Linked DNA regions of Macaca mulatta. The main gene of each other region encodes a partner of the protein of the gene in region 2 in a complex. Links are inferred from orthologs where the notes say so. Each region holds a gene or a part of one and is shown on either strand. Other genes may lie near its edges.

Region 1 (4,284 bases), on a different chromosome or scaffold from region 2:
AATAATTCATTTACAATGTTTGCATCAGTATTCAAAAGTGAGACTGTTTTTAGTGTTCCCTTTACTAGATTTTTCTGTAAGTGTTATCATGGCTTTGTAAAGGAAAGCTTTTCTTCTTTCTGTATGAAATGGAACAATTTCAAAAGGAGATTCTCTTGAAAGATGTATTTACCCATGAAATAAGGCATAGTTCTTGGGTAATACTCTTAACTTGCTTTGGCTTTCAAATTTAAAACCCTGGAGATAACCCAAAAGTACCCTTGGGTTTACTTTTCTCATTCCTAATTTTGTATTTTTGTATCATTCCTTTCTCCCCTGATTTAACTAGCAGTAGTTTCGTCTACTGTTTTTGTTTACTCTAAGAATGATCTTTTATAATTTTTTTCCTTTTAATATATTAGCATCAGCGTTATCTATTTTAAGATCTTCTTCCTGTTTCTTTAGGCTTATTTCATGTTTCCTTCTTAGTATTATTAAATAGAATATTTCTATTATCTCTCAATTATTCAGGATATTGATTTTCTAATACATTCAAGCTTTGGTTACATTCCATATATGGTAATATTATGATGTTATTTTATAGATATTAAGTAACTGTATTTTCAGTTTCCTTTTTCACACAATAAAGTATCCACAGTTAGTTTTGTAGTTTCTATTTTTGTTACTCCTTCATTAATGCATTCAATCAACCCAGCAAATACTTAGTCCCCTTCTAGTTCATTTTGGTCACAGACTGTGTTTTGTTCTACTTCAACTACATTGTGGTTTGCTAATTAATTTCATCCCCACAGAGTCATTTTATGTTTTTAAAAAGATAAATTTCATAAATTTCACAAACATTTTATGAATTTTCCTCAGAGCTGTGTATGCAGGATAAACTAAAAAAATTTATAAATACTGCATTTCATCAAATTTAAGATTACATCTTGGATTCATCATTATTTCATATGCTATGAAAGAAACTGCCATGCTCATTTCAAAGATGTTAAAGTGTGAAAATATGCATCTTAGAAGCATGAAATATAGCATATTTAATGTCAATTGCCCTCTTTCACCAAATTCAGCTAAAACAATGGCCTTTCAAAATCTTTTGTTTGTTTTTCCAGAATTGTCTTGTCTTCCATACTTGTTACCTTTTCCAGATAAGAAACTCTATGACTGCTCAAGGGATCTGAGCAAGGCAAAGTGATCCCTTCTTTTAGGAGTATTTGAATTGGGAGAATAGTTTCAAAGAAGTACACTTAACTTTGTAATAATTTTATATTTGAAAAGTGAAAAAATGTTTTTATAACGCTATGAATAAATGAAAGCATAATGAGAACACCATTGAAAAAAGGTAGGAGCTTTTTTTTAAGTTGAAAAACTGACAAATCACCAGTCAGCTACTTGTCAATTCTCTCGGCTTCTTTCAAAGTTTATCAGAATCTCTCTTCTCCACTACCTAAATTTTTTTTTCAGGAGCTCTAACTCCAATACCTAAACTTTCGATACTTTAATTCTGCCCAAGCAATATTTCAGTGTGTGAAAACAATGCAACATATATATAATACACACACACACATATATATACACACACATACACATATGATCAGTTGCCTGCCTCTTTAACATGTCATCTCCACAGAATCACTTTATAGCAAGAGGAAAACCTGCTTTTCCTTAAATAGGTTACCGAGTTCATTGTTTCTTTTTTCTCCTTGCAAAGGGCTAAAAAATGAACATCAGGAACAGATCCTATTCACAGAATCGAAATTTAAATTACTTACTAATGCTTTCTTAGCATAAAAAATTATACTAAGATACCTTCTTTGTCAAGTTCTGTTCATCTTTCAACTATACAGTGGAAAGCCTACTCAATGTTCAATTAACCCCATCACGCACCTTCCTGCCTGCTTAAACAAATGTATTTAGAGATAAATGTTTTTAATATTATTCTAGCTCTCACATAGTCACTGACAGAAACAAGAACTTATTCATGAAAAAGGTTAAAGAAATAGAGAAACAAAATCACTGGAAAAATACGCCTTTAAAACAAAATATAAGGCACAGGCTAATGAAATGGATAAGTTTACAGGGCACCTGCCCTATACCTTATCAATATAAAACTCCATCTAGACATAAAGTACTGGCAAGAAGAGGTTAGTAGGCAGAAACAAGCCAGACTTTCTCCTCTCCTCAGAATATTAAATCCACTCAAGATATACAGTGAATGACAAAAGACCACGACGCCAATCACCCGAAGAAATCCCAAGCAAAAGCACGCCACAACTGTCCTGAACAGGTAGCCTCACAGTCTTGAGCTGAGTCACACTTCCCGTACCTGTGCCCACTCTATCCGACCCCCTGCGGCCTAGTTAAACTAAAAATCCGAAATTAAACTCTGAAACGTTTCTTCCTGGGAGACTAAACTCTCTCCCACCCCTCCCCCTCACAGATCCTTCCCTCCCCGAAACGGGCTGGGGGCGGGGAGGGGAGTCGCCTCAGAAAAGAGCATCTTGCTTCTGGCCGCTGCCGTCTCCCTTGAGGACCCCGGCACTCGGAACTGAGCCGGGATCCAGGCCCAAGGGAGTCGCAGGCCCCTTCCTCACAGCCCCCCAAAAACCGGCCCCAGGTGAGAAGACGTAAGATCACTTACTAGTGGGAGCTCTGCCAAAAGTTCCCTGCCATGGAACACAGCTTGCCCTGATAAAAAAGCACCAGCCGGCGGAGCGGCCCGCGGAGCGACCATAGACCCAGCCCGTCCGGTAACCGCGCTCCTCGATCAAATCAGCTCGGCTCGACTCCGCTCCGCGGCGGCGACGGCGAAAGGAAGAGGATGGCCCCCTAGTCTCCTTCACGCCGGCCGACAACACTCAACTGTGCAAACCCGTTCCTATCGACAAAAGTTCCGGCCCGCGGTAGCGGAGGGAGCCGGCGGGGAGGTGCTGACCTGTGGGGGCGCTGAGATAGAAGAGAACTAGTGCTCACGAGAGCTCACGGCGGTTGGAAGACTCTCGCGAGAGCGTCTTGCCTGTTCTGGCCGGGGGCCCACGGCGCTCGGTCTCCTGTCCTCAGCACTGGAGTTGCTGAGTAGGGGTCTAACCTGGGCGAAGTGGCTGAGTTCCGGGGTTCTGTTATTACCTCTTCCAGGACTTCAAAAACAGAACAATGGCATTGTAATAAAATAAAAGATTTTGTGACTTATTTTACCTGTGATTGGAAAGAGAAATAAATGAAGATGACTTTGTTCTCACGGATCAAGTTTTTTTTGTTGTTGTTTTTGTTTTTTGTTTTTTTTACCTTGCTCTGTCGTCCAGGCTGGAGTGCAGTGGCGCGATCCCGGCTCACTGCAAGCTCCGCCTCCAGGAGTTCGAGCGATTCTCCTGCCTCAGCCTCCTTCCCGAGTAGCTGGGACTACAGGCACGCACCACCACGCCCGGCTAATTTTTGTATTTTTAGTAGAGATAGGGTTTCACCATGTTGGCCAGGATAGTCTCAAACTCCTGACCTCGTGATCCGCCCGCCTCGACCTCCCAAAGTGCTGGGATTACAGGCGTGAGCTACCGCGCACGGCCTATTTTTTACTTTTGAGACAGAGTCTGGGTCTGTCACCCAGGATGGAGTGCAGTGGCACAATCTTGGCTCACAGCAACCTCTACCTTTCGAGTTCAAGTGATTCTGCTGCCTCAGCCTCCCCGGTAGCTGGGATTACGGGGATTACAGGCGCGTGCCACCACGTCCATCTAATCTTTGTATTTTTAGTGGAGAGGGGATTTCGCCAGGCTGGTCTGGAACTCCTGACCTCAGGTGATCCATTCGTCTCAGCCTCCCAAAATGCTGGAATTAACAGGCGTGTGAGCTACCAGGCCCGGCCTGGATCAAGCGATTTCTTTCTTTTTTTTTTTTCTTTCTTTTTTTTTCTTTTTTCTTTTCTTTTTTTTTTTTTTTGAGACAGACTCTTGCTCTGTCACCCAGGCTGGAGTGCGGTGGCGCTATCTAGGCTTACTGCAACCTCTGCCTCCCAGGTTCAAGAGATTCTCCTGCCTCAGCCTCCCAAGTAGCTGGGACTACAGTCGCGCACCACCACGCCCAGCTAATTTTTGTATTTTTAGTAGAGGCGGGGTTTCACCATGTTGGTCAGGATGGTCTGGATCTCCTGACCTCGTCATCCGCCCACCTCTGCCTCCCAAAGTGCTGGGATTACAGGCGTGGGCAACCGCGCCAGGCCGCGATCTTAATGGAGTTCTTTTGGAGTGATAGAAAAGTGCAAACTTACAGAGCAGCGAAATCACCGGTTTTGTAAAA
Region 2 (3,500 bases):
CACATATCCACCTGCAATTGTTGTTTATATAATTGATCCTTTTACATACGAAAATACAGACGAGAGCGCTAACTCTTCTAGTGTGTGGACATTGGGGCTACTTCGATGCTTTCTAGAAATGGTCCAGACTCTTCCTCCTCATATCAAGAGTACTGTTTCTGTACAGGTAAGAGTGATAAATGTTGTCAGTTAAAATTATGTAAAACAGTTTGATGTTGTCAGAAGTTTCAGATACTACTTTTCTGTATTCAAATTGATTATCTAAAAGCCAAGTTCTATTATATTGATTTTACTTTAATATCATAATATAAATCTTAGATAATTTATAAGTCATACCACAGTAATAATACAGAATAAAAAACAGTCATACCACAGTAATAATACAGAATTTTTAAAAAGTCCATTAAGTACATTAAATGTTTCTCCTGTGTTACTTTTATAAGCCAATTTTTAAATTCATGAGCCTAAATAGAAAGATATAGCACATACAAGACAGGTTGCAAGAAAAGGAGAAAGCAATTAACCATATTAAGTTGTTAGAAGAAATTTTGAATTTATTTTATAGACTTCAGGACTGGTCAATGGCATTATTAATATAATTATTACATAGAAAATTTATAGTTTTTTGTTGTTGTTGTTGTTTTGAGATGGAGTCTCGTTCTGTCGCCAGACTGGAGTGCAGTGGCACAATCTTGGCTCACTGCAACCTCTGCCTCCCGGGTTCAAGCAATTCTCCTGCCTCAGCCTCCTGAGTAGCTGGGACTACAGGCATGTGCCACCACGCCCAGCTAATTTTTGTATTTTTAGTAGAGATGGGGTTTCACCATGTTGGCCAGGATGGTCTCTATCTCTTGACCTCGTGATCCGCCCACCTTGGCCTCCCAAAGTGCTGGGATTACAAGTGTGAGCCACTACGCCTGGCCAGAAAATTATACAGGTTTTAAATAGTCCTTTAGTTCAGAACCCATTGGTAAAATTGGCTACTTATTCAAAGCCTACATAATAGATAAGAAAACAATTCTTAAATTTTCATTTAAATTAGGTTTTGTTTAAATTTTCTAGTAAAAAGTTTTTAGAGTTTTAGACCCACAATTCCTGTTATTCTCTTTTGAAAGTTTAACATTTGTAATATTTGCCTACACTTCTTAGATAATTCCTTGTCAGTACCTGTTGCAACCTGTGAAGCATGAAGATAGAGAGATCTATCCCCAGCATTTAAAATCCCTGGCTTTTTCGGCCTTTACCCAGTGTCGGAGGCCACTTCCAACATCAACCAATGTGAAAACATTGACTGGCTTTGGTCCAGGTTTAGCCATGGAAACTGCCCTTAGAAGTCCTGATGTAAGTATGTTTTTCATGACCAAAGTTGTTGAATGACTATACATACTTTTTTTTTTTTTGAGATGGAGGCTTACTTTGTCACCCAGGCTGGAGTGCAGTGGGGAAGTCTCGGCTCATCACAACTTCCGCCTCCTGGGTTCAAGCAATTCTCCTGCCTCAGCCTCCCGAGTAGCTGGGATTACAGGCATGCGCCATCTGGCCCAGCTAATTTTGTGTGTGTGGGGGGGGTTTGTCATGTTGGCCAGGCTGGTCTCGAACTCCTGACCTCAGGTGATTGCCCACCTCTGCCTCCTTAAGTGCTGGGATTACAGGCACGAGCCACTGCGCCCTGCCAACACTTTTTTGATATTATGCAAAACTAAGCGCAATTTTTGGCTTAGCTCTCATTTTCCAGTTATCTTATAATTGGGTAGATGATAATTACATTTTAAATGCATATTTATCTAAGATTGTATAGTATGATAATACCTTAATTTTTTATTTTATAGAGACCAGAGTGTATTCGACTTTATGCACCTCCTTTTATTCTGGCTCCAGTGAAGGACAAACAGACAGAGCTAGGAGAAACATTTGGAGAAGCTGGACAGAAATACAATGTTCTTTTTGTGGGATACTGTTTATCACATGATCAAAGGTGGATTCTTGCATCTTGCACAGATCTCTATGGAGAACTTTTAGAAACTTGTATCATTAACATCGATGTTCCAAATAGGTATTTGTATTTCCCTAAATATATCATATCATTCCATTTTTCATGTGTGTGAGTGTGTATGTGTGTGTGTATATATGTGTGTGTGTGTATATATATTGTTTCATTTTTAATGAATAGAAAACCAGCTTGAAGGTTTTGTATATATTAAAATATTAAGATGTGGGATTGTGGGTGCTTTTTACTTTTTCTGTAGTGAATGTTTATATTGTATAAGATAATTAAAAATAATTATGATTAATCTATTACATGAACAAAAAACATTAAGATCACTAACTTCTGTGTCATAAAGCTTGCAATTATTTTAGCTGAACATTTGTGAAAGATGTAGTTAGAAAACACTTCTGCAATTAAAAAATGGTCTAGTAAGTATAGAACATTTAAACTTTTCTCATATACCATCTAAGATATAGCCCCTAATTAACTAAGTTAACTTCATTTACTAAAATTGGCGATTTAAAATTTTATCATTATGGCCGGGCGCGGTGGCTCAAGCCTGTAATCCCAGCACTTTGGGAGGCCGAGACGGGCGGATCACGAGGTCGGGAGATCGAGACCATCCTGGCTAACACGGTGAAACCCGGTCTCTACTAAAAAAATACAAAAAACTAGCCGGGCGAGGTGGCGGGCGCCTGTAGTCCCAGCTACTCGGGAGGCTGAGGCAGGAGAATGGCGTGAACCCGGGAGGCGGAGCTTGCAGTGAGCTGAGATCCGGCCACTGCACTCCAGCCTGGGCGACAGAGCGAGACTCCGTCTCAAAAAAATAAATAAATAAATAAAATTTTATCATTTAATGTTAGGATGTAGCCGGGTGTGGTGGTGGGTGCCTATAATCCCAGCTACTCAGGAAGCTGAGGCAGGAGAATCACTTGAATCTGGGAGGCAGAGGTAGCAGTCAGCTGAGATCACGCCATTGCATTCCAGCCTGGGCGACAAAATGAGACTGTCTCAAAAAAAAAAAAAAAGTTAGGATGTCTTCAGAATATGATGGCCATTTTAGGATTCTTGGCAGTAAATACCATGTCCAATTATTTGCGAAGGATATAACTAATAGGTCCCAACAGGTGAGCCTCATTTTGAGTTATCAAAGCTAGTGAACGCTGAACAGGAGAACCTGAAAAGCAAATCTGTGAAATGATTTTTAGTTTTAAGATTTGGGTTCTGGCCAGGCATGGTGGCTTATGTTTGTAATCCCAGCACTTTGGGAGGCTGAGGCAAGGCAGATCACTTGAGTCCAGGAGTTCAAGACCAGCCTGGGCAACATGGCGAAACCCCATCTGTACAGAAATACAAATATTAGCTGGGCATAGTGGCACACCTGTAGTCCCAGCTACTTGGGAGACTGAGGCAGAAGGATCACTTGAGCCCAGGAAGTTGAGGCTGCAGAGTGAGCTGAGATTGCGCCACAGTACTTCAACCTGGGTGACAGAGTGAGATCCTGTCTCAAAAA
Region 3 (4,279 bases), on a different chromosome or scaffold from region 2:
TGCAATCATGCCTCAAGTAAGTCAAAAAATGAATCTTTCAAGCTATTTTATTTCCTAAAACTTAATAATTTAAGCAGCTAACTCCTCTGGTCTAAATTATTTTACCAATTGTTCATGTTCTATGCTCACTGGGGCAACTGAAAGGATACAACGTTTACATACATTCATTTCAATAGTCAAATATGTCTAAACCAAGCTTATTTGTGTTATTTCCTTTTATAGAAATTCTCAGGTTCTCCTTGAAGGTGTTACCGTCTGAGTTCCTAGAGAACAAATCTCAGCTGCAGAATATATAATGTAATTTGAAAGTAAATCAATACTAGAAACAAATTATTTGATCATCATCTTATTATAAAAGATTAAACAGCCACAAATTTTATTTTACCAGGACTAAAATGCATTAAATTACATTTCACTGACATAAGATCAAAAGAACCTCATAAATAGTATGCGATATTTTACCAGAGTGAGGTTACAAAAAAGAAGTCAAACTGAAAAATCCCTGTAATTTTAAAACTCTCCAAAACTATCTCTAAAAGATAGTAATTTTAAAACTCTCTTGACATTTGATCCATTAAAAACAGAAGTTCATCACATAAAGAGAATCATTAAAGACTGATGGAAAACAAACGCCAAGGATTACAAATAATAAGCTCTTTTTTCCAAAATGCAATGTTACTTTTCAGCTGTCACGGATGACTAAGAATGTCCATACATTATACCTTCAACTATCTTTAAATTCAAAGATATTGAAATTATTCTTTCAAATTATTCTTAACAACCTAAATTAAAACCGGACCATGGAGATATAAAATATTTGCTTAAGTACCTCCTGCCAATACACAGTATTAGTTTTCTAATAAAAGTACAACGTTAAAACAAATATGCATATTTTATTAGCTTAAGTTCATAGTTTTTGAAAACAGAAGCGGCTTCTCTCACACAGATTAAAAATAATGCAAAGGCGCTAGAATTTTATATAACATGACAGTGTGGTCAAATGCACTGTAATGTCTAATCTCATGGGATTGGGGATTTTATGAATATGCCCAAAATTACATAATACTGGGGGAAGGAGAGATGGTTTAAAGCTTTTGAGAAATATTGTATGGTAAGTTATCAAACATAATTTTTAAAATATATGTCATTACAGAGTAAAACTTCAACAATAAGTCTAATTAGACATCAACAGAGTCAGCAGTATCTCCAGACGCTGATTTCTCCAGTGCTAAAAAGTACTTTTAAATACGTGCGGCGCCCAGAGTATCAAGTTTTCAAATCCAAATCCCTACCTTCTGCCGATCTGTTCCACTTTATTGTGGCATAAAAGCACTAAAATACATATTCCAAATTAATGAGAACTCTTATCTTCCTCGTAGAGTCCATTGTAAACACTTTTAGAAAGATATTTCAGTAAATCTAAGAAAAATGTTGAATAAATACACACTTTCCTTTCCAACATCCAGAATACTAAAGTATTTATAAATATGCGCCCCCCTCCCCCACACTAGGGAACTTCAGCTTTATGAATTTTTTTTCGTGCTAATGTAGTCTGAACATACTCTCCTAATCTGAAATTTTAAGTGATTAAACATCATATAGCAGGTAACTAAACTGGAATGTTCCAGTAAAGCTACTTCGTTTCTAATAAAATCCAAAGATTATATAATAAGCTTTGACTTTTCAATAATTTTCTATTCTGTCAAAGGCAACAGAGACAACATCCATTTTACAAGAAAACATGGAGTTAATAAAATATATATTATTCCCCCCCACTAAGAACTGCCTTCTCTTTTGTCAATATTACAAGACATTCATCTACTGACAAAGAGAAAAAAACGAACAATTCACTTGCCTGTTAAGAAACTAAATTGGAAGCATTACCACTCATAGGTTTAATTAAGTTGTTACTAGGGAAGAATATTTAAAGCAAAGGGATTATTTAAAGTTCACTGCCAGCCGCTAAATTTGGGGGAAACAGCCTCAACGAGATAGTCCCTATGTCACTTGTCTTCTTCCCCACCACCCACCCTGCACCAAACCCCCATTGTTCTATGTAAAAATTCACAGCTAATAATATCTAAATAGCAACTGCAACATGTATGGTGCAGATGATCCGTATGGGGAACTCTCTCCAGAACCACATTCACTCGCTGCCTTCCTTCCCTCAAATAAAATACAAATTTGATAAAAAATCGATCACAAACTGGGGGGGGAAAGGATCACAGCCTTCCTTCTAGACCGATGGATGACACTCCCGAGGCGGGTGAGGAAATCCCCAGAAGGTTACCATAATAAATCGACCAAGGAAAAAAAAACAAACAGAAACATTTCACCCGGCGTTTTAGAACGCATTTTTTCATAAATCAGCTTTGAAATCCTTGAAAAGTATATAGCCCACGGTGCAGAGGCTCCTCTTCCCTCTTAGCACCGAAGCACAACACAGATGCGGCACGCAGGATTTCTTGTGGCTTTGGATCCCTTGTACACCACTTCCTCCCCAAACCTTGCTGGCGGAGCCAGAGGCCGGCGTCGAGGAAGTCAGAGCCCGGCACCCCGGCGGCCCGCTCTCCCTCCGGGCTACCTGCCTCGGCCTGCGGGAGCGCCGCCCAGCGCGGACACCGGCCCAGACGCACACACTCACCCATCTTTCCTCTTGGCTTTGTAGACGTGACCATAAGTGCCTCGGCCAACTTTGCAGCCCTCGTATTCAAACAGGTCCTCGACCCGCTCCCGCTCGCTGCTCAGCTTCACTTTAAAGTCATAGTCCATTGTCACAGCCTCCGAGGCCGGAGAGCTGGGTCGGGGGGCCGGGGGGCAGGGGTGGGGACCGGGGAAGCACGGGCAGCCGCAGCCCCCGGGAACCCGCCCGCTCTACGCCCGCCGGCCGCAGCACCAGCCCGACTGATGCGGCAAGAGCAGGAGGAGGCCCCGCGAAAGCGCCGGGGACATCCAGGGGGGCAGCGGGGCAGAGGCCGGCCGGGGGTGGAGGAACGGGGAGGATCCCCCGGCGAAGCAGAGCCGAGGGACGAGGGCTGGGGGTGGGGAGCGGTGTCTCTGCCCTTGTCCCCGCGGGCTCCCTGGGCGCCGGCTCCGCCGCTCTCTCCGGTCGCGCGTTCTGCTCCTGCTGCGGCGGGAGCGGCGGGGCGGCCAGGCGGGCTCTCGTCCTCTCACACGCGCACTCACGCCTCACGCGCTCACACACACGCTCACACTCACTCACTCACTCACTCACTCTCCCATACACTCAAACAGAAAGGCAGCGCCGCACAACAGCCGGTACCTCCTCAAAGAGAGGAGGAGGGAGGGCACTCGCGGAACACGGCCGCGGCTGTCGCAAAAACGTCGCGAAGCCTCGGGCTGCCTCCGAACCACCCTCCAACCCGCTCCCGCGGTGGCTGGCCGCCCCTGCTGGCGCTGGCACCCTGAGGACCGTGTGGAGGGAGCAGGGGAGCCGCTGCCCAAAGCTGCCGCAAAACGCAACACGTGGGACCAGCCCCAGCGGTGGCCGGTTCCGAGACTACAATACCCAGAATGCATAGGCCGCCGCCGCTGCCGCCTCTTCTACGACTCCGCCCCACATGGTGGGAATATGGGAGCGTTGCATGTTGGGACTCGTAGTCTAGGGTGAAATTCGTTTCAATCACTTGGGGAAAATTTATTTTTATTTTTATTTTTATTTTTATAGCGATCTAACTAGAGTCTGATTCCAGCCATAAACTTGACCAAAGAGATGCACGTGGGAAGGAGAGTAGCTTTAGAAACACATTTTGTGCCACTCTGAACTCCAGATGTTAAAGGCCACTGTCATCTATAAAAGCGGATATATTTGTAAACAGCTCGCGGGCCAGCAGTTGGGGTACTCTTGGTGTTCACAATCTGATAAGGGCTGCACAATGATGTCAACATACTGACATTACAAGCTCCAGTAAAAGTGAATCAATGACTACTGTCCAAGCTACTTCTAAACATTGTTACTCTTGTGACAGATGACCATCCAACCTTTCCTGTCCATTTATAGGAAGTATTGAGTACAGTACAGCCTTCTGCGATGCTCCCCATAAGAACACCAGTTTCTAGCTATGATTACAGAAAGGATCTAAATCCATGGGAACTAGTTTGTTAATAATTTTGCGGTAGCAGTATGTCCTGCTTCAGGAGTCCTGCTTCAAGATTGATACTAATCTATCATTTTATCTTATCCCTCTTATTTGTCTGTTTTTAATTTTTGGTTTCCAATTGTTACCATTTCCACTAAAGCTCCCCACTTCCCAAAGGG
Region 4 (3,500 bases), about 15 Mb from region 2:
TCTACAAAAAATAGAAAAATTAGCTGGCTGTGGGCCTGCAGTCCCAGCTACTTGGGAGGCTGAGGCGAGAGGATCACTTGAGCCCAGGAGTTTGAGGTTGCAGTAGACTCACTCTGGGCTGGGCAAGAATAAGACCTTGTCTAAAAAAAAAAAAAAAAAAAGTGTCAAGTAGTCAAATTCCTAGACACAGAAAGCAAAATGGTAGTGACTGGGAGCTGGAGGGAGGGGAAAATGGGAAGTTGTTGTTCAGCGGGTACAGAGTTTCAGAGATGTAAGAAGAAAGTTCTGAAGACCTGTTACACAACAGTGTGAATATACTTAACACTACTGAACAGCACACTTAAACAACATGGCTAAGATGGCAAATCTTATGTGTGTTTTACAATAAAAAAAGCAAACAACTTATTGGTTGGGTGAATGAACTCAATGTAGCTGGCCACCACGGAAGTCCTCCAAGCCCTCGAAGAGCCAGGGCAGGAAACTGTCCTAAGAGAGAACTGAGGGTGGGGGATGGCCTGTAAAACCTACAGACAGTTTCCTAGCTCCTAGACAGTCATACAGTTTTCTTCTTTTGGGAGCTAGCTGTCTAGAACTTGAGTCTCTGCGGGCAGACCCTGTTTGGGTCTGCATTTCTGATACACAGCAGGTGCTGGCATATAAACGCTTCTGCCACAGAGACACAGTACATGTTTGCCGAGTCAGGTGAGTGAATGCATGAATGGGAAAGTGAGTGAGCGAATGATCGAGCAGCGTGTCTGCGAAGGTCAGAAAAGAGAAGGGTGCTTGTTATTGGATGTGCTGACTTCTCACAACACACTTGTAGGGTCTGAGAAGGGAAGGTGGCTTACTGACCTCTCATTGTAGAACTGCAGGGTGTTCTCACTAAACAGCGGCCCTGCCAGCTGGCGGATCATCTGCAGCGACTTCTCACGCTCATCCAGCCCCAGCATCCGGACGTGGGCCACAAGCCAAGCCACAGCACACACCGCCAGACTGCATACCTTCCCTTTGATGTTATCAGTGATTTTCTAGGGGAGAGGGAAAGGTGATGGGCTACCATCTATCTCCCTTTCCTGAACCACCATCACCTTCTCAGCCTCTGTGGGCAGCTCAGTGCAGCGGGTGGAGTCCCGGGCCACACTCCCCACAAGTTTGATCTTCCCAGAGCTACCTGGGCCAGAGGGAGTGGCTAAGACTACAATTACACAAAAGATCGATATCAAAACATGAGCTCCTGGATTAAAGGTCTTCTTGCCCTTACGAAATATAACAAGTCATCACTGGCTGGCTCTGCGTCTCAGGGGAGCGAAGGCTGCTGGGAAGGGGGGGCTACCTGGATGGACTCGAAGGCCAGGACCCCATTCTCCCAGGCATTGAGGATTTCCAAGATGGCGGCTGAGATGCTGAGACAGGCCTCGTGCCACTTCATCTGCCTGCGGGAGTGCAGAGAAGTCAGCACAGAGGAGCAGGGGACGGGCTCGGGGAGAGGGTCTTGACCCTGCCCCCACCGCCACCCTTGGAGTGGGCGCCCGGGCCACTGACACCAGCTTCATCTCCGAGGAGTTGTTGAGCAGGGCCACCAGGGACTCCACTTTGGTGGAGTCGGGGCGGAAGCAGGGGTGGTCAGGGTTCAGGATCTTGCCCTCCTCAGGCATGCAGGTCTGCATCCAGGTCTCGAAGAACGGCACGTCAGCTCCTGTGCGCGACTCAGACAGAATCACCTGGGAAAGGGGAAGGGGGGCACCAGCCGAGTGGGGAGGGCGCGGCGCCTGCCAGCGCTGGACCTGGGACTGCACCGTTTCCCGCCAGGCTGCTGCTCCAGCCCAGCCCGAAGACTAGGGACGAACTGTTCTAAGGGAGCCAGACGGGGGCAATGCTGCCACCTAGTGGTCAGTGTGAACATGGGGCTGAAGGGGCCGTCCGCGTGGGCACCTGGTTTCTGAGGCCCACAGAACTAACTGGCTGAGAGGCTGTGGGGGTGCAGGCGGTGAGGTGGGGAGAGTTTCGGGTTACCTTCTTCCCCTGAGCCCCCGTCCCCGTTGCTCCCCTCTCTCTCACCTCTGAACCATAGGTCTGGGCCACATGGCACAGCATGAGGAAGGAGATGTCAAACAGCAGGGCCCGGACGGAGGCCGGTTTGGCTGTGGAAGGACAGGAAGGCTGAGCTCCCAGACGAGGGCAGGGGGCGGTCGGTGTCTGGGTCGACAGGGATCGGGATTTGCCTCTAGGAAGGTCAGGGACCAAGTGGCTCCTTCAAAGCTCTGAGGCTCAGAATCCTTTTCTTGAGTCTCAACTGGAACATCATCCCTTCCTTGAAACCAAAGACCCCCAGCACCCTCTCCTGGCATACCCAACCAAGTCATAAAGGAGTGAGGGGGGAAGGAGACATAGGGATGGATGGTCTGGGAAGAATACTGTTCCAGCATTACCCACTTTCAAGCTCTGTGGAAGCTTCCGTTGGTCATGGCTCTGACGAGGGAGCACAGCCTCCCCCTGTTGAGCCCGGGAGCCCTCCTCCCTCCCACACTCTCCCACCACACCCCTCCTCAGGGCCCACTGGGCCTGCAGATGTACAGGGCTGACTTACTGCTTTCTTCGCTGCCATAGGTTGTGAATTCATTCAAACTGAAAGGAATGGAGACAGGTTGCATTAACCAGGGCATGAGCTGAGCAGTAGCTGGGCGCTGGGGACTACACATGCTCAGAGAGCGGTCGCTAGAGTCTGAGTTACTGGTTAAACTTAAAATGAGACACATTGGTACAGGAAAAAGAAGGATTTCTTTTTTTTTTTTTTTTTTTTTTTTGAGATAGAGCCTCGCTCTGTTACCCAGGCTGGAGTACAGTGGCACAATGTCAGCTCACTGCAACCTCTGCCTCCGTTCAAGCAATTCTTCTGCCTCAGTCTCCCAAGTAGCTGGGATTACAGATGCCCACCACCAAACCTGGCTAATTTTTTATATTTTTAGTAGAGACAGGGTTTCACCAAGTTGGCCAGGCTGGTCTTCAACTCCTGACCTCGGGTGATCCACCCACCTTGGCCTCCCTTAGTGCTGGGATTACAGGCGTGAGCCACCGCACCTGGCCAGAAGGATTTTTTTTTTTTTTTTTTTTTTTTTTTTGAGACGGAGTCTCGCTCTGTCGCCCAGGCTGGAGTGCAGTGGCCGGATCTCAGCTCACTGCAAGCTCCGCCTCCCAGGTTTATGCCATTCTCCTGCCTCAGCCTCCCGAGTAGCTGGGACTACAGGCGCCCGCCAGCTCGCCCGGCTAGTTTTTTGTATTTTTTAGTAGAGATGGGGTTTCACCGTGCTAGCCAGGATGGTCTCGATCTCCTGACCTCATGATCCGCCCGTCTCGGCCTCCCAAAGTGCTGGGATTACAGGCTTGAGCCACCGCGCCCGGCCAGGATTTTTATTGTTAGAAGATTTCCAAGGCCTAGAGAATGGCTCACTGAATGGAACCATGTTCTATATATGTCAAATTCCAGGACAACCAAAGGCAAC
Region 5 (4,036 bases), on a different chromosome or scaffold from region 2:
TAATCCCAGCTACATGGGAGGCTGAGGCAGGAGAATTGCTTGAAACCAGGAGGCGGAGGTTGCAGTGAGCCAAGATCGCACCACTGCCTTCCAGTCTGGACAACAAGAGCGAAACTCCATCTCAAAAAGAAAAAAAAAAGAGGAAATTTAAGTACAGTACAAAGAGGTTAAATAACTTGCACTAGGTCACACAGTTAATGCGTGGTACACCCAAGACTCAAAGCCCAGCAACCTGGTTTCATGTCCATGCTCCTAACCACTAACTAGACTGCCTGTATAGGGATGTAGTGCCTGTTAAAACATTTTTAAGGAAAAGATCAATTTAAAAAATTAATAAACAATAGTACAGGCAGTACTTAGCTATATAGAAATCAAGAAAACAGTCATAGATGACATTGCTTTATGATCAACTAAATGAATCTATTAGGGTAGAGTCCTTCTGTTGCTAAAAATTGTCATTACTCTATCAGAAAAAGCACTGATAAACAATGTTGCTAATGTGCCTTATTTTGAAATATAAAAGAATCCCTAAACTGACGCTACAAGGGACAGAAGTCCTAGGATTCTGAAAACGTTGATAAGGGTGCCAACAGAGAGCCCTTGCCCTGGAGCTGCCTTCTCCATTTAAAAAGCAGGGGTGGCTGGGCACGGTGGCTCGTGTCTGTAATGCCAATACTTTGGGACACCAAAGCAGGAGGCTCGCTTGAGTTCAGGAATTCAAGACCTGGATGTACAAAACAGCAAGAACCCATTTCTATTTCTTTAAAAAAAAAAGAAAGAGCATGGGGTTCCAGGGTTCTACGCTGCATCCTTTCTATTTCCATCCCTCACATATCTTGCTTCCATTAAGGAACACAGGAGGATCATGATGTGAACTGTGGGAAACAAGAGTGCAATCACTGAGAAACCTGCAAGAACCTGGGCTACCAGGAGGAAAAGTATTTCCCCTACACATGCTTTTGTATGAGAAGCCTATAGCCACTGGCTTCAGATATCCTGGCCTCTGGGTTTCTCCCACGGGGAAAAATGCTCACATCTACTGAGATAAGAAAAAAATGTTCTGGGACCTGGCACCTTACAACTAACGCCTCCACAAGCACTGGACCCATACCTTTCCCTGCTACCTCATCTTCTTCCAACGGAGACTTAAAACCTATGAAAGATAAAAACTCCTCTGAAACTAGACTAACCATGGAATTAAACATAGTGGGAAACGGGTCCTAAAGAGATAAAGTGCCTGGAACCCTGATCTCCTTATTTTCAATAGCCTCTTTTTCCCTCTGGACCCAAGATCTTAAAATGGGCAAATTAGAAACAGACACAAGCTGGTCTAACTGCATTTGATGGCTGAGGGAAGGGTAGGCAAAAATCTTGGCCGGTCGCGGTGGCTCACGTCTGTAATCCCAGCACTTTGGGAGGCCGAGGCAGGCGGATCACCTGAGGTCTGGAGTTCGAGACCAGCCTGACCAACATGGAGAAACCCCGTCTCTACCAAAAATACAAAATTAGCCGGGCGTGGTGGCGCATGCCTGTAATCCCAGCTACTCCGGAGTCTGAGGAAGGAGAATGGCTTGAACCCGCGAGGCGGAGGTTGCTGTGAGCCGAGATCGCGCCATTGCACTCCAGTCTGGGCAACAAGAGCGAAACTCCGTCTCAAAAAAAAAAAAAGAAAGAAAAAGAAATAAAGAAAAATAAAGAAAATCTTTAAAAATACTGTTTCCTGATTGCTTATAACCCACTCCCTCTAACCCTGTCTGCAGGTGGGTCACAGTCCAAAGACCCTATTTCCAACCCTGACGTCCCATTGCGGGCAGTACTATGGCCTCACGGGAAGGAAAATGAATCTAGAAGGGAATGAGGTACACAACCATTGATAGGTTCCTGGGATAAAAACTTTGCTTTGTCGGCCGGGCGCGGTGGCTCAAGCCTGTAATCCCAGCACTTTGGGAGGCCGAGACGGGCGGATCACGAGGTCAGGAGATCGAGACCATCCTGGCTAACACAGTGAAACCCCGTCTCTACTAAAAATACAAAAAACTTACCCGGGCGAGGTGGCAGGCGCCTGTAGTCCCAGCTACTCGGGAGGCTGAGGCAAGAGAATGGCGTGAACCCGGGAGGCGGAGCTTGCAGTGAGCTGAGATCCGGCCACTGCACTCCAGCCTGGGTGACAGAGCGAGACTCCGTCTCAAAAACAAACAAACAAACAAAAAAAAAAACAAAAAAAAACTTTGCTTTGTCGACACCAGCCTGGCCAATATGGTGAAATCCCATTTCTACTAAAAATACAAAAAATAGCCGGGCGTGGTGGTGGGCGCCTGTAGTCCCAGCTACTCGGAAGGCTGAGGCAGGAGAATCGCTTGAACCCAAGAGGCGGAGGGTGCAGTGAGCCAAGATCGCACCACTGCACTCCAGCCTGGCGACAGAGCGAGACTCCGTCTTAAAGAAAAAAAAAAAAAAAAAAAAACTTCGCTTTGCTTTCCCGCCTTCCAAGAGGAAGGGGCGCATCTCCGAGGAAACAAGGCCGGGGAACCCGCGGCTCGCACGGCATCCTCTCATCCACACAACCCGAGGACAGCTCCCAGGGGACGGCGGACCACGGTCAAGGTCCTCTTTTCGGCCCTTCACAACTCCAAGCTCCGCCCCACAAAACCCCCTGCAGTCCTACCAAGTCACTCCCATGGCGTCGGGCCAGGAAGGCGGCCGGATCACACGGTAGAAACGCAGGGTTCCCTATCCGCCCACAGAAACTGCTTCAGTTCCCCAACACAACCTTCGGTCTCGGAAGAGACTCCGGAAATACGTAAAAACAGAGCGCCGGGTCCACGCCTTCCCCAAGGAGTGGGGCGGGTCTCAGGGCCACTCGGTGACACCTCCAGTGACATCATCTGCGGATTCCCGCCCACAGGTTTCTAAATCCAGACATTCTCGTTTGGCTGAGCACTCTAGGCCTAGACCCATGAAGCTAAGAGCGACACTCAAAGACTGCACTGTTGAGAGAAGCTAACGTTAAAGGCTGTGAATATATTGGGGAGTCCAGCTCCGGAACCCGGGAGCTCTTTTAGTGGGAGGGGCGGCGCTGATGGTGCTTCTGGCCTCCGAATGCTAGGGGGCGCTGTGATCGCCGCGTGGCCTCTTGAGAGCCGGGAGTCCACCGCGCAAGCGCAATCTGGCTTTTTCGCCGTCCCCACGTGCGAACCTCCGCGGCAACGTTTTCGAGAAAAATGCCCAAGTTGAAGGCGGCCCGTGGGGTCGGGGGTCAGGAAAAACATGCGCCCCTGGCCGATCAGATCCTGGCTGGGAATGCGGTGCGGGCAGGGGTCCGGGAGAAGCGGCGGGGTCGCAGGACCGGAGAAACGGAGGAAGAGTATGTGGGACCCCGGCTGAGCCGGCGGATTTTGCAGCAAGCACGGCAGCAACAGGAGGAGCTCGAGGCCGAGCATGGGACTGGGGACAAGCCCGCGGCGTCGCGGGAACGCACCACGCGGCTGGGTGAGTGTCTGGGATGAGATCCGAGGAAGACAGTGGCCAGTAGTGGGGCGGGGTGGACAGCTAAAAAGTGTCTGGCAGGGGAATTGCTTCGAGTCAACAAAGGGTCCGTATTACACTTGCAAAAGTAATGGAATGGGAAACTGAACCCTGTTCAGAGCCCTCCGCGTCCACTCCTAGTTTTAGGCACTCCCTTCTACACATCCCCTAAGTTAGGCCAACAGTAATCGCTCGCTCCACCCTAGCATTTATCCATTGGTTTTGTAAATATATATGGGATACCCACTACGAGCTTTGTACTATGCTCGGAGTTCTATCGAATGTTTGGGTACAGAAGTAAACAACATAGGCACGTCTGACTTAAGGACCTTACAGTCAAGCCCAGTAGAGAGTCAATTAAGTAGACTCTTAGAATAATATTTTTCTATGATAAAGTGTCGCTTCCCTGGTAACAATAGCATTGGTCTTGAGAAGCTTCTCCGATTGCAGCAGGACCTTTTAAGTTGAGAACTGAAAAACGAATGGGAAGTGTTATGAGCAGAAAACACAT
Region 6 (4,178 bases), on a different chromosome or scaffold from region 2:
AACTACCATCAGAGTGAACAGGCAACCTACAGAATGGGAGAACATTTTTGCAATCAACTCATCTGACAAAGGGCTAATATCCAGAACCTACAAAGAACTCAAACAAATTTACAAGAAAAAAACAAACAACCCCATCGAAAAGTGGGCAAAGGATATGAACAGACATTTCTCAAAAGAAGACATTCATACAGACAACAGACACATGAAAAAATGCTCATCATCACTGGCCATCAGAGAAATGCAAATCAAAACCACAATGAGATACCATCTCACACCAGTTAGAATGGCGATCATTAAAAAGTCAGAAAACAACAGGTGCTGGAGAGGATGTGGAGAAATAGGAACACTTTTACACTGTTGGTGGGATTGTAAACTAGTTCAACCATGATGGAAAACAGTATGGCGATTCCTCAAGGATCTAGAACTAGATGTACCATACGACCCAGCCATCCCATTACTGGGTATATACCCAAAGGATTATAAATCATGCTGCTATAAAGACACATGCACACGTATGTTTATTGCAGCACTATTCACAATAGCAAAGACTTGGAATCAAGCCAAATGTCCATCAGTGACAGACTGGATTAAGAAAATGTGGCACATATATACCATGGAATACTATGCAGCCAAAAAAAGGATGAGTTTGTGTCCCTTGTAGGGACATGGATGCAGCCGGAAACCATCATTCTCAGCAAACTATCACAAGAACAGAAAACCAAACACTGCATGTTCTCACTCATAGGTGGGAACTGAACAATGAGATCACTTGGACTCGGGAAGGGGGACATCACACACCGGGGCCTATCATGGGGAGGGGGGAGGGGGGAGAGATTGCATTGGGAGTTATACTTGATGTAAATGACGAGTTGATGGGTGCAGCACACCAACATGGCACAAGTATACATATGTAACAAACCTGCACGTTGTGCACATGTACCCTAGAACTTAAAGTATAATAATAATTAATTAATTAATTAATTAAAAAATAAATAAATAAATAACAAGAAAGGAAGGAACAAGTAACTCTTGGACTGATAGGGAATTACCTTTAGATTATTATTAGGAGAAAAAAGTGCTAATTAATTAACAGTGTACATGGTATATGATCATGCTATAAAAGTGTTTCTATACGCATAAAATACTTCTAGAAGAAAACATAACTTGAGGATATTGGCTAGAGACAGAAAAAAGAACAGGTAAGAGAAGAGAAAGAGACTAGTTATTGGATCCACCCTTTTTATACCTGTGCATTTTGAACCATATGAATGTATTACCTATTAGAAAATAATTAAACAAAAGGTTAAAACATGACTGTATTAGCATTATATGATCCATGTCTGAAGTGGCAAATCTTATCACCAGTGGCTGACACACAGTTCTCATTTCCCTACCCATAATACACCATGAGAAGGTAAGGCACTACTGGAATGTGAGCTCTTCAAGGATGACACATTTTGTCTTTTTCACGGATACATTTTCTGGTAGCTGTTCTTTGTTACTTTTACAGTTTGTTTCCTCATTTTTACTATAATATCTTCCTATCGTTATTATAGAATCTTGGTATTCCTATTGTAGCATCTTTGTATCAATGCTGTGCCAATTCCTTTATTAAGTAAAACAAATGGAATGTGTATCTTTGACAAGTAAAGCTTAACACATCTGTTTTCAAGTGTACCAAAAAAATCCGAATAGGATGAAAATGATCTTAATTAATCTAACATAGGGGAGTTTTTTTCTTTTTTTCAGCGTTGCACACTGTGCAGTATCAACTTGACTTCTCAACATAGGTTTTCTACCGAAATATACAAATTAAAACAAACGTAAGCCAGAATAAAAAATGATGACAATTTTATTTCTTCCTTCTCAGGAAGATCTTAAGAGCAACATCAAAGTAAATGTTAAAGGGAAAAAAAAAAAGAAGGGGGCAAAAATCATCAGCTGAATGTATTAAAAATGAAGTGCTCACCTGAGAAAGACCACCCCAAAACTGTCTGAAGGCACCCAAACAGCTAATTAGTTTTGTTTTCTCATCTTCAGGAGTATCCATAAACATGCTAAAAAAATAAAAATTACATTATTTGTCATTCGTTTTAAAAAGGTAATTACACACAATCAGAATAGTGGATCTTAGAACCTTCCAACACGAAACTAAGTAAAATCTGACAGATACAATCACATGAAAACACAAAAATCCGCCACGCATACACTCACCCAGGAAAAGCCTCTTCTATAACTTCCGTTTTCTGTAAAAAAAAAAAAAAAAAACAAAAAACAAAATGTAAACAATGTTAATTTTTAAAAGGCGCCTCCCTTAGCCAAGTATTACAATGTAACACAGGACAAGTCACCTTAATCAGCTCTGAAACTATCAATACCTGTCGGGCCTGTCACTGTATCGATTTCAAAGGATACAATGAACTTGACAGCAGTTTGAGAATCACTAAACCTCCCCGCACACAACCTCGATGTCAAAACAAGAGAATAAAAAGGGAAGCGTGAGACGAAGTTGCCCGGGCCAGCTTCCTTGGTCTGCTGCCCCCGCGTCTACCCGTCCCCGAGCCGTAGTCCTGGATGGCCGGCAGCTGCACTCACCACCACCTCTTCGAAAATGCTCTGCAGTTGCGTCTCCATCTGTACTATTACCCCCGCCTTTCCGGGGTGCCCGGTAAGGCCCGGGTCAGACCCGAGCTCTGGGAATATATGGGGCGAGGGTCGGAGACCGCCGGAGGAAACCGTAGCTCTCCGACGTCGCTTCCCTCCCCCAGTGCTTTACCGGGGAGCCTTCCCTCCGCAGCCCAGCCAACTGGAGGAACCTGTACGGAAGACCGGAAGGGCCCGGTACTCTCTGTTTGCAAACCCCGCAGAAACCAGCGGCGCCGCCAGACGGTTCCGTCTGTGGAGAAGGTCAGCCCGCAAGCCGGACGAGAGCGCCCCCAAACGGAACCTTGAGCCCAAGGACCCCGGAGGCGTGATCGACCGCAGGCCGCCACCTCCCGGCTGGAGAAGGAGTTGCTTCCTGCTCGGGACTAACCCGTTTGCAGACTGGGAAATGAAAAGCTTGAAACCCAGAGGCTGCAGCCTGCGGAAAATGCTGGAGCCGCAGCTGATGTCTGTGAGCAGCTGACCTTCTGGACCTCCATCAGCGGCCTGCAGCCAGGAGCTGAAGCCACAGAGACGGTGCTTGTCAGCTATGATAACCTCAGTGCAAATGTGATTGACTGACTTTTGAATGCCAAACCAATTTTGCTTCTATGGTATAAATGCTACTTGGTCATAATATATTATCCTTTTAAATGTATTGCTGGATTCTATTGGCAATATTGTTGAGAATACGTGTTTTTCTTCATATGCCACCGTCATCACCAACCCCTAAAACATCTGTTATGCCTTTTCGATGATCAGCTTTCTTTACCTCAAAAAGAAAATTGTTGATGAGAGTCATAGACATGCAAAGGGCCTTTCACTTCTTTGTGAAATGCCACAAACTGCTAAGCATGAACTACTCCTTTGTAGCTGCTAAGTGATGAGCTGATGAGTCCCCATTAGTGGTTTTGTTATACAAGTCTCTGACCTGGCATAAATTTAGTTTTCTAACAACTTTAACATGCACATGCAACCATCGTTGCCCACACAATAGCTACTAAAAGCTTAAAAGAAATAATTCAGATTCCCTGCTGGAGAAAAACTTGAAGAGTTAGGCTTCGTATATTGTTTGCTAGGGTTGCCATAACAAAATGCCACAGACTGGGTGGCTTAAACAACAGAAATTTCTTTTCTTGTAATTCTGGAGGCTAGAAGTCTGAGGTTGAGGTTGGTAGGGTTACTTTCTATAGAGCCCTCTGTCCTTGGCTTGTAGATGACCTTCTTCTCCTTGTGTCTTCACGTGGTCTTTCCTTTGTACATGGCTGTGTCCTAATTTTCTCTTCCTAGTAGGACACCAGTCAGGTTAGGGCCCATATAGCTACTCTAAAGAGCTTTAGTTCAGTTGAAGAAGTAGACATTTTAAACCGTAATATAGTGTAATATGTGCAATACTAGTGGTGCTAATAACGTGCCAGGGGGAAAAGGAGGAAATACAAATTTTTCTACAAAAAGGGATTTAGAAAGATACCTACGTGAGTTTGCTTAGACTGCTGTGAATAGCATACTATAAACTGGGGGGTAATTTGAGTCTG
Region 7 (4,271 bases), on a different chromosome or scaffold from region 2:
GGGGCTCCAGACCCAGCGCCGGACTCCAGACTGACTGGGGAACACGGGCCCCCTGCTCCGGGATCCGGGTCGCCGCCCCCAGCCACGTGGGACCGGGGCCTCACCTGACTGATCCCACTCCAGGCAGGTGATGGCCTCGCGGTGGTCTGAGGGGATGGAGTGCAGGTCCCAGGGGTGCTCCGTGTCCAGGATGTGGATCATACGGGTCAGATCTGTGGGGACGGGACATGGTCATCACGGCCTGGCGCCATGGCCTGGAGGCGAGGACGATGACCCCGGGCAGGCTCCAGGGAAGCCAGTGCGTGTCCCACCCCAGGGAGGTCACAGAGCTGCTGTCAGTCGGGTCGACAGCTCAGGGAACGGGCTGTCCCCCCGCAGGAACTGAGCAGGCCCGTGAGGCGCCATGACCGCGTCTTTAAAACCAGATTAGAAGAAAATGACCCCAAAACATGAACAGTGGGAGCCTCTCCACAGCAGGTAATGGGGGCCTTTTATCGCCCTGATTTGATTCCAATTTTCTGTGGTTTTCTAATTTTCTCTAATGACCACCTATTATGAGTGCCTATTACTCGAACAATGGAGAGAAGATGGGCATAGCCACCACGTACCTTTCAAAAACCAAACAGTGACACATGCTGTCTGGAAAACTGGGGCACGTGTCTCCAACAAGCCTCCGTCAACCACCGCCCCAGCCCCACTCGATCCCACACACGGGGCGATCTCATGTCTCCCGGCCCCAGGTTTGGGGAGCACTGAATCCACCCTCTGTACCCCCAGAAGGCTGAGGCTCTCACCCAAGTTACAGAGGAGGGCTGGGGAAGAGTGAGGGGAGGCCTGAGAGACCGAGTCCCCGCATGGCAGCGTGCCGGGCACCTGGGGAACAGGGCAGGACACCGTGAGGCCGGGAGGGGAAGCGGGTGGCGGGGGGGACACACCCTGGTCGTCGCTGCGCAGGTCCATGGTGAAGGCGATGAGATTTCGGCAAGACCAGGCGCAGGCCAGGGGCACCGATGGGCAGTGGGTGCTCTTGGACCATTTCTCCCACTCACAGACGTAGGCCAAGTCCATCATCCCACCTGCCGCTGGCCGCCGCAAGTCACACATGAGGGCAGTCACCAGCTCCTGCGGGAGGGAGGTGTGGCGGGTCAGCTATGTTGGCTGAGCACCCAGGGCATGCCAGGCCGGAAGTGGGTAAACGATGGAGGCCTGCAGTGGAGGGAACGGCCAATGCAAAGGCCCAGAGGCGAGACAGAGCCTGGGCGTTCCCGGCTGTCCATGGGGCTGGGGCCGAGGGGGAACGTGGAGAGGTCAGGGCCAGTCCTGGGCTGGTGGGCTTCTACCGTCAGCAAGGTGGGAGCCCGGGAGGGCTGGGACCTATTTGGGTTTCACCAGGACCCCTCTGGCTGTCTGGGGAAGGGACCATGGGGGCCAAGGGCACAGCTGACAGATGCGGCGGAGGGTCTGCACTGGCCCAGGTGAGTGATGATGGGGGCGGCAGGCGGACCCTGGGTCTCTCCCGAAGGAAGAACCCACAGACAGGCAAGCAGTAGGGTGGTTCCCTGTGGCCACGGCGGGGCAGGCGTGCTGGGGCTAAGGGGCTTGCTGAGTGTGACAGGGAATGCCTGTGGCCGAGGCGGGGGCTGAGTGTGACAGGGAACAGAGGGAGCATTTCCTCGGGGTTTTCTAAGCACCTGACATCTGGACAGGCTGTTTTGCTTCAGAGGCAAAAGCCCAGTGAGACTGGAATGACCACCAGCCCCATTTTCCTCAGGCCCTAACTCCAGCCCCCTACTTCTTCAGGGTCTGCCCCAGACCCCCAAGGATCCGCCGCAAGCCCCTAAAAGTCTTTCAGCCCCGCCGCTGATACTCTTTGCTTCCCACACTTCAATTCACCCCTTGAGCCTACGGCCTCACCCGAAATTCTCTGGCTTCACCGTAGGGGTCCCATGTACTGTTCAGGTCCAGCCTCCAATGCCCCCAGCTCTCCAGGCCTCACCCCTAAGACTCCCCAGTCCCCAGACTCCACTCCGGGGACCCCATGTACTCTCCAGGCCCTTCCCCTACCGCCTCCAAACACCAGGCTTCATCCTAGGGACCCGTAGCCTCTCCCGGCCCCGCCCCCATAACCCCAAATCTCCGGGTTCCACCCTAGGGACCCCAGAACCTCTCCAGGTCCTGCCCCTATAACCCCAACTACCAGGCTTCATCCCAGGGACGCCTCAGCCTCTCCAGGAACCGCCCCTATAACCCCCGATCTCCAGAGACCCTATACCCTCTCCAGACCCCTATAAATCCGCAGTCCCCAGTCTCCACCCCAGGGACCCTATTCCCTCTCCAGGCCCCGTACCGATAACCCCCAGTCTCCAGGCCCTGCCTCTACAGACCCCCAGTCCCCAGGCTCCACCCCAGGGACACTATTCCCTCTCCAGGCCCCCCCCCAACAATCCAACCAAGCGCCTTCAACCCCGCCCCAAACTCTCCTTAGGCCCCGCCCCGACCCCCGCCCCGCGGGCCTCAGGCCTCCCGCGAGTTTCCGCCGCAAACCCGGAGCCCCGGGCCGCCTACCCAGCAGCCTTTGCTCCCGGCCACGCCCCCTGACCCCGCAGGGCCCGCCACGCCCGCGCCGCGTTCCCTGGGGTCCAGTGACACGGTAAGGGGTCCGTCCGCCCTCGCCGGGCCCCCGCAGCCCCGCACTCACCTGGCCGGCCCGTGCACCAAGCCCAGCGGGCGTCCGCTATGCGAACTTCCCTAGCGCCTCGGCTGCGGCGCGGCCATCTTCCCCGGCACCAACCAGTCGCCTGAGTCGCGCCGCCGCCTCCCAAAGACTTCTGGGAGGGCGGTGCGGCTCAGGCTCCGCCCCGCTTCCGGGTATATTTGCATACGAGCATTTCCAGTAATTCCCAGCAGCCACTGTAGCTATATTTGGTAGAATAACGAGCACTTTCTCAACTCCAGTTAATAACTGCGTTAGTTGCGTGACACATTGGACTAATACAAATAGAGGTTGAATCTCTAGAGCAGTGGAGACAAGTCGTCGTATGTGTAAAGAAATGTCCTCCGGGGACTATAAATAGCTGGTGGTAGAACCAATGTGTCGTGCTCGCTTCGGCAGCACATATACTAAAATTGGAACGATACAGAGAAGATTAGCATGGCCCCTGCGCAAGGATGACACGCAAATTCGTGAAGCGTTCCATATTTTTGTCCTTTATTTCTTCCCCCCAAAACGGAGTCTCGCTCTGTTGCCCAGGCTGGAATGCAATGGCGCGATCTTGGCTCGTTGTAACCTCCGCCTCCTGGGTTCAAGCAATCCTCCTGCCTCAGCCTCCCGGGTAACTGGGACTACAGGCTCCCGCCACCACGCCCGGCTAATTTTTGTATTTTTGGTATAGACGGGGTTTCACCACGTTGGCCAGGGTGGTGTCGATCTCCTGACCTCCTGATCCGCCCGTCTCGGCCTCCCAGAGAGCTGGGATTACAAGCGTGAGCCCCCTTGCCCAGGCTTTCTTCCATTTTCTTTCTTTCTTTCTTTTTTTTTTTTTTTTTTTTTGAGACGGAGTCTCGCTGTGTCTCCCAGGCTGGAGTGCAGTGGCGTGATCTCGGCTCACTGCAAGCTCCACCTCCCGGGTTCACGCCATTCTCCCGCCTCAGCCTCCCAAGTAGCTGAGACTATAGGCGCCCGCCACCTCGCCCCGCTAGTTTTTTTTTGTATTTTTAGTAGAGACGGGGTTTCACCATGTTAGCCAGGATAGTCTCGATCTCCTGACCTCGTGATCCACCCGCCTCGGCCTCCCAAAGTGCTGGGATTACAGGCTTGAGCCACCGCGCCCGGCCTCTTTTTTTTTTTTTAATTAATTTATTTATTTTTATTGTACTTTAAGTTCTGGGGTACATGTGCATAACGTGCAGGTTTGTTACATATGTATACTTGTGCCATGTTGGCGTGCTGCACCCATCAACTCGTCAGCACCCATCAACTCGTCATTTACATCAAGTATAACTCCCAATGCAATCCCTCCCCCTCTTCCATTTTCTAATGTCCGAGAGTGGGGAAACTGAGGCTCCTGTAAGCGAAGTCACGGACCCCGTTGAGTATTCCTACTTCCAACCCCATTCCCACCTCCTCCTCCAAAAGCCAGTTTAATGCAATGGATGTTGTGCTCTTCCGTTTTTATTTTTATTTTTTTTGAGACAGGATTTCGCTCTGTGGCCCAGGCTGGAGTGCAGTAGCGCGATCTTGGCTCACTGCAACCTCTGCCTTCCAGGCTCAA

What was found.
Region 1: the proteins of MED13 (region 2) and CCNC are in contact, whole or in part, in a cryo-EM structure (PDB 8TQC), measured with the Homo sapiens proteins. The link is inferred for Macaca mulatta from reciprocal best matches to the Homo sapiens genes MED13 and CCNC. Residues at the interface, in NP_005112.2 of Homo sapiens: Tyr1342, Ser1630, His1631, Val1732, Lys1733, Thr1734, Thr1736, Phe1738, Gly1739, Pro1740, Gly1741, Ala1743, Arg1897, Met1898, Ile1901, Asp1905; in NP_005181.2 of Homo sapiens: Gln7, Gln13, Trp14, Leu16, Gln19, Lys23, Gln26, Lys27, Arg75, Tyr76, Glu144, Leu145, Asp147, Cys148, Ser221.
Region 3: the proteins of MED13 (region 2) and CDK8 are in contact, whole or in part, in a cryo-EM structure (PDB 8TQC), measured with the Homo sapiens proteins. The link is inferred for Macaca mulatta from reciprocal best matches to the Homo sapiens genes MED13 and CDK8. Residues at the interface, in NP_005112.2 of Homo sapiens: Thr1616, Met1617, Asp1618, Arg1619, Lys1621, Val1622, Gly1623, Ile1624, Pro1625, Thr1626, Asp1627, Gly1628, Asp1629, Ser1630, Val1732, Lys1733, Thr1734, Leu1735, Thr1736, Gly1737, Phe1738; in NP_001251.1 of Homo sapiens: Leu9, Glu12, Arg13, Arg71, Lys74, His75, Pro76, Leu81, Gln82, Lys83, Val84, Tyr133, Asp137, His140, Tyr141, Met330, Gln331, Phe335, Leu336, Leu340, Pro341, Thr342, Ser343, Asp344.
Region 4: MED13 (region 2) and MED24 share a complex: the UniProt entries of both Homo sapiens proteins name them as parts of the mediator complex. The link is inferred for Macaca mulatta from reciprocal best matches to the Homo sapiens genes MED13 and MED24.
Region 5: MED13 (region 2) and MED20 share a complex: the UniProt entries of both Homo sapiens proteins name them as parts of the mediator complex. The link is inferred for Macaca mulatta from reciprocal best matches to the Homo sapiens genes MED13 and MED20.
Region 6: MED13 (region 2) and MED23 share a complex: the UniProt entries of both Homo sapiens proteins name them as parts of the mediator complex. The link is inferred for Macaca mulatta from reciprocal best matches to the Homo sapiens genes MED13 and MED23.
Region 7: MED13 (region 2) and MED16 share a complex: the UniProt entries of both Homo sapiens proteins name them as parts of the mediator complex. The link is inferred for Macaca mulatta from reciprocal best matches to the Homo sapiens genes MED13 and MED16.

The regions. Positions count from the first base shown.
Region 1 is NC_133409.1:86,296,427-86,300,710, reverse strand, and holds the start of CCNC (cyclin-C), read right to left. Parts: upstream 2,801-4,284; 5' UTR 2,668-2,800; coding exon 2,636-2,667; intron 1-2,635. UniProt on the Homo sapiens protein: Component of the Mediator complex, a coactivator involved in regulated gene transcription of nearly all RNA polymerase II-dependent genes.
Region 2 is NC_133421.1:49,699,513-49,703,012, reverse strand, and holds part of MED13 (mediator of RNA polymerase II transcription subunit 13), read left to right. Parts: coding exon 1-166; intron 167-1,149; coding exon 1,150-1,341; intron 1,342-1,829; coding exon 1,830-2,053; intron 2,054-3,500. UniProt on the Homo sapiens protein: Component of the Mediator complex, a coactivator involved in the regulated transcription of nearly all RNA polymerase II-dependent genes.
Region 3 is NC_133422.1:6,371,775-6,376,053, reverse strand, and holds the start of CDK8 (cyclin-dependent kinase 8), read right to left. Parts: upstream 2,801-4,279; 5' UTR 2,773-2,800; coding exon 2,645-2,772; intron 1-2,644.
Region 4 is NC_133421.1:64,378,864-64,382,363, forward strand, and holds part of MED24 (mediator of RNA polymerase II transcription subunit 24), read right to left. Parts: intron 2,626-3,500; coding exon 2,588-2,625; intron 2,322-2,587; exon of another isoform or gene 2,218-2,321; intron 2,142-2,217; coding exon 2,059-2,141; intron 1,722-2,058; coding exon 1,543-1,721; intron 1,434-1,542; coding exon 1,334-1,433; intron 1,029-1,333; coding exon 853-1,028; intron 1-852. UniProt on the Homo sapiens protein: Component of the Mediator complex, a coactivator involved in the regulated transcription of nearly all RNA polymerase II-dependent genes.
Region 5 is NC_133409.1:140,252,642-140,256,677, reverse strand, and holds the start of MED20 (mediator of RNA polymerase II transcription subunit 20), read right to left. Parts: upstream 2,801-4,036; 5' UTR 2,680-2,800; coding exon 2,666-2,679; exon of another isoform or gene 2,043-2,665; intron 1-2,042. Other genes in the region: BYSL (bystin), read left to right, coding at 3,222-3,489. UniProt on the Homo sapiens protein: Component of the Mediator complex, a coactivator involved in the regulated transcription of nearly all RNA polymerase II-dependent genes.
Region 6 is NC_133409.1:36,667,873-36,672,050, forward strand, and holds the start of MED23 (mediator of RNA polymerase II transcription subunit 23), read right to left. Parts: upstream 2,801-4,178; 5' UTR 2,635-2,800; coding exon 2,596-2,634; exon of another isoform or gene 2,379-2,595; intron 2,247-2,378; coding exon 2,215-2,246; intron 2,058-2,214; coding exon 1,970-2,057; intron 1-1,969. UniProt on the Homo sapiens protein: Required for transcriptional activation subsequent to the assembly of the pre-initiation complex. Component of the Mediator complex, a coactivator involved in the regulated transcription of nearly all RNA polymerase II-dependent genes.
Region 7 is NC_133424.1:1,546,014-1,550,284, forward strand, and holds the start of MED16 (mediator of RNA polymerase II transcription subunit 16), read right to left. Parts: upstream 2,801-4,271; 5' UTR 2,699-2,800; intron 1,123-2,698; 5' UTR 1,105-1,122; coding exon 936-1,104; intron 213-935; coding exon 105-212; intron 1-104. UniProt on the Homo sapiens protein: Component of the Mediator complex, a coactivator involved in the regulated transcription of nearly all RNA polymerase II-dependent genes.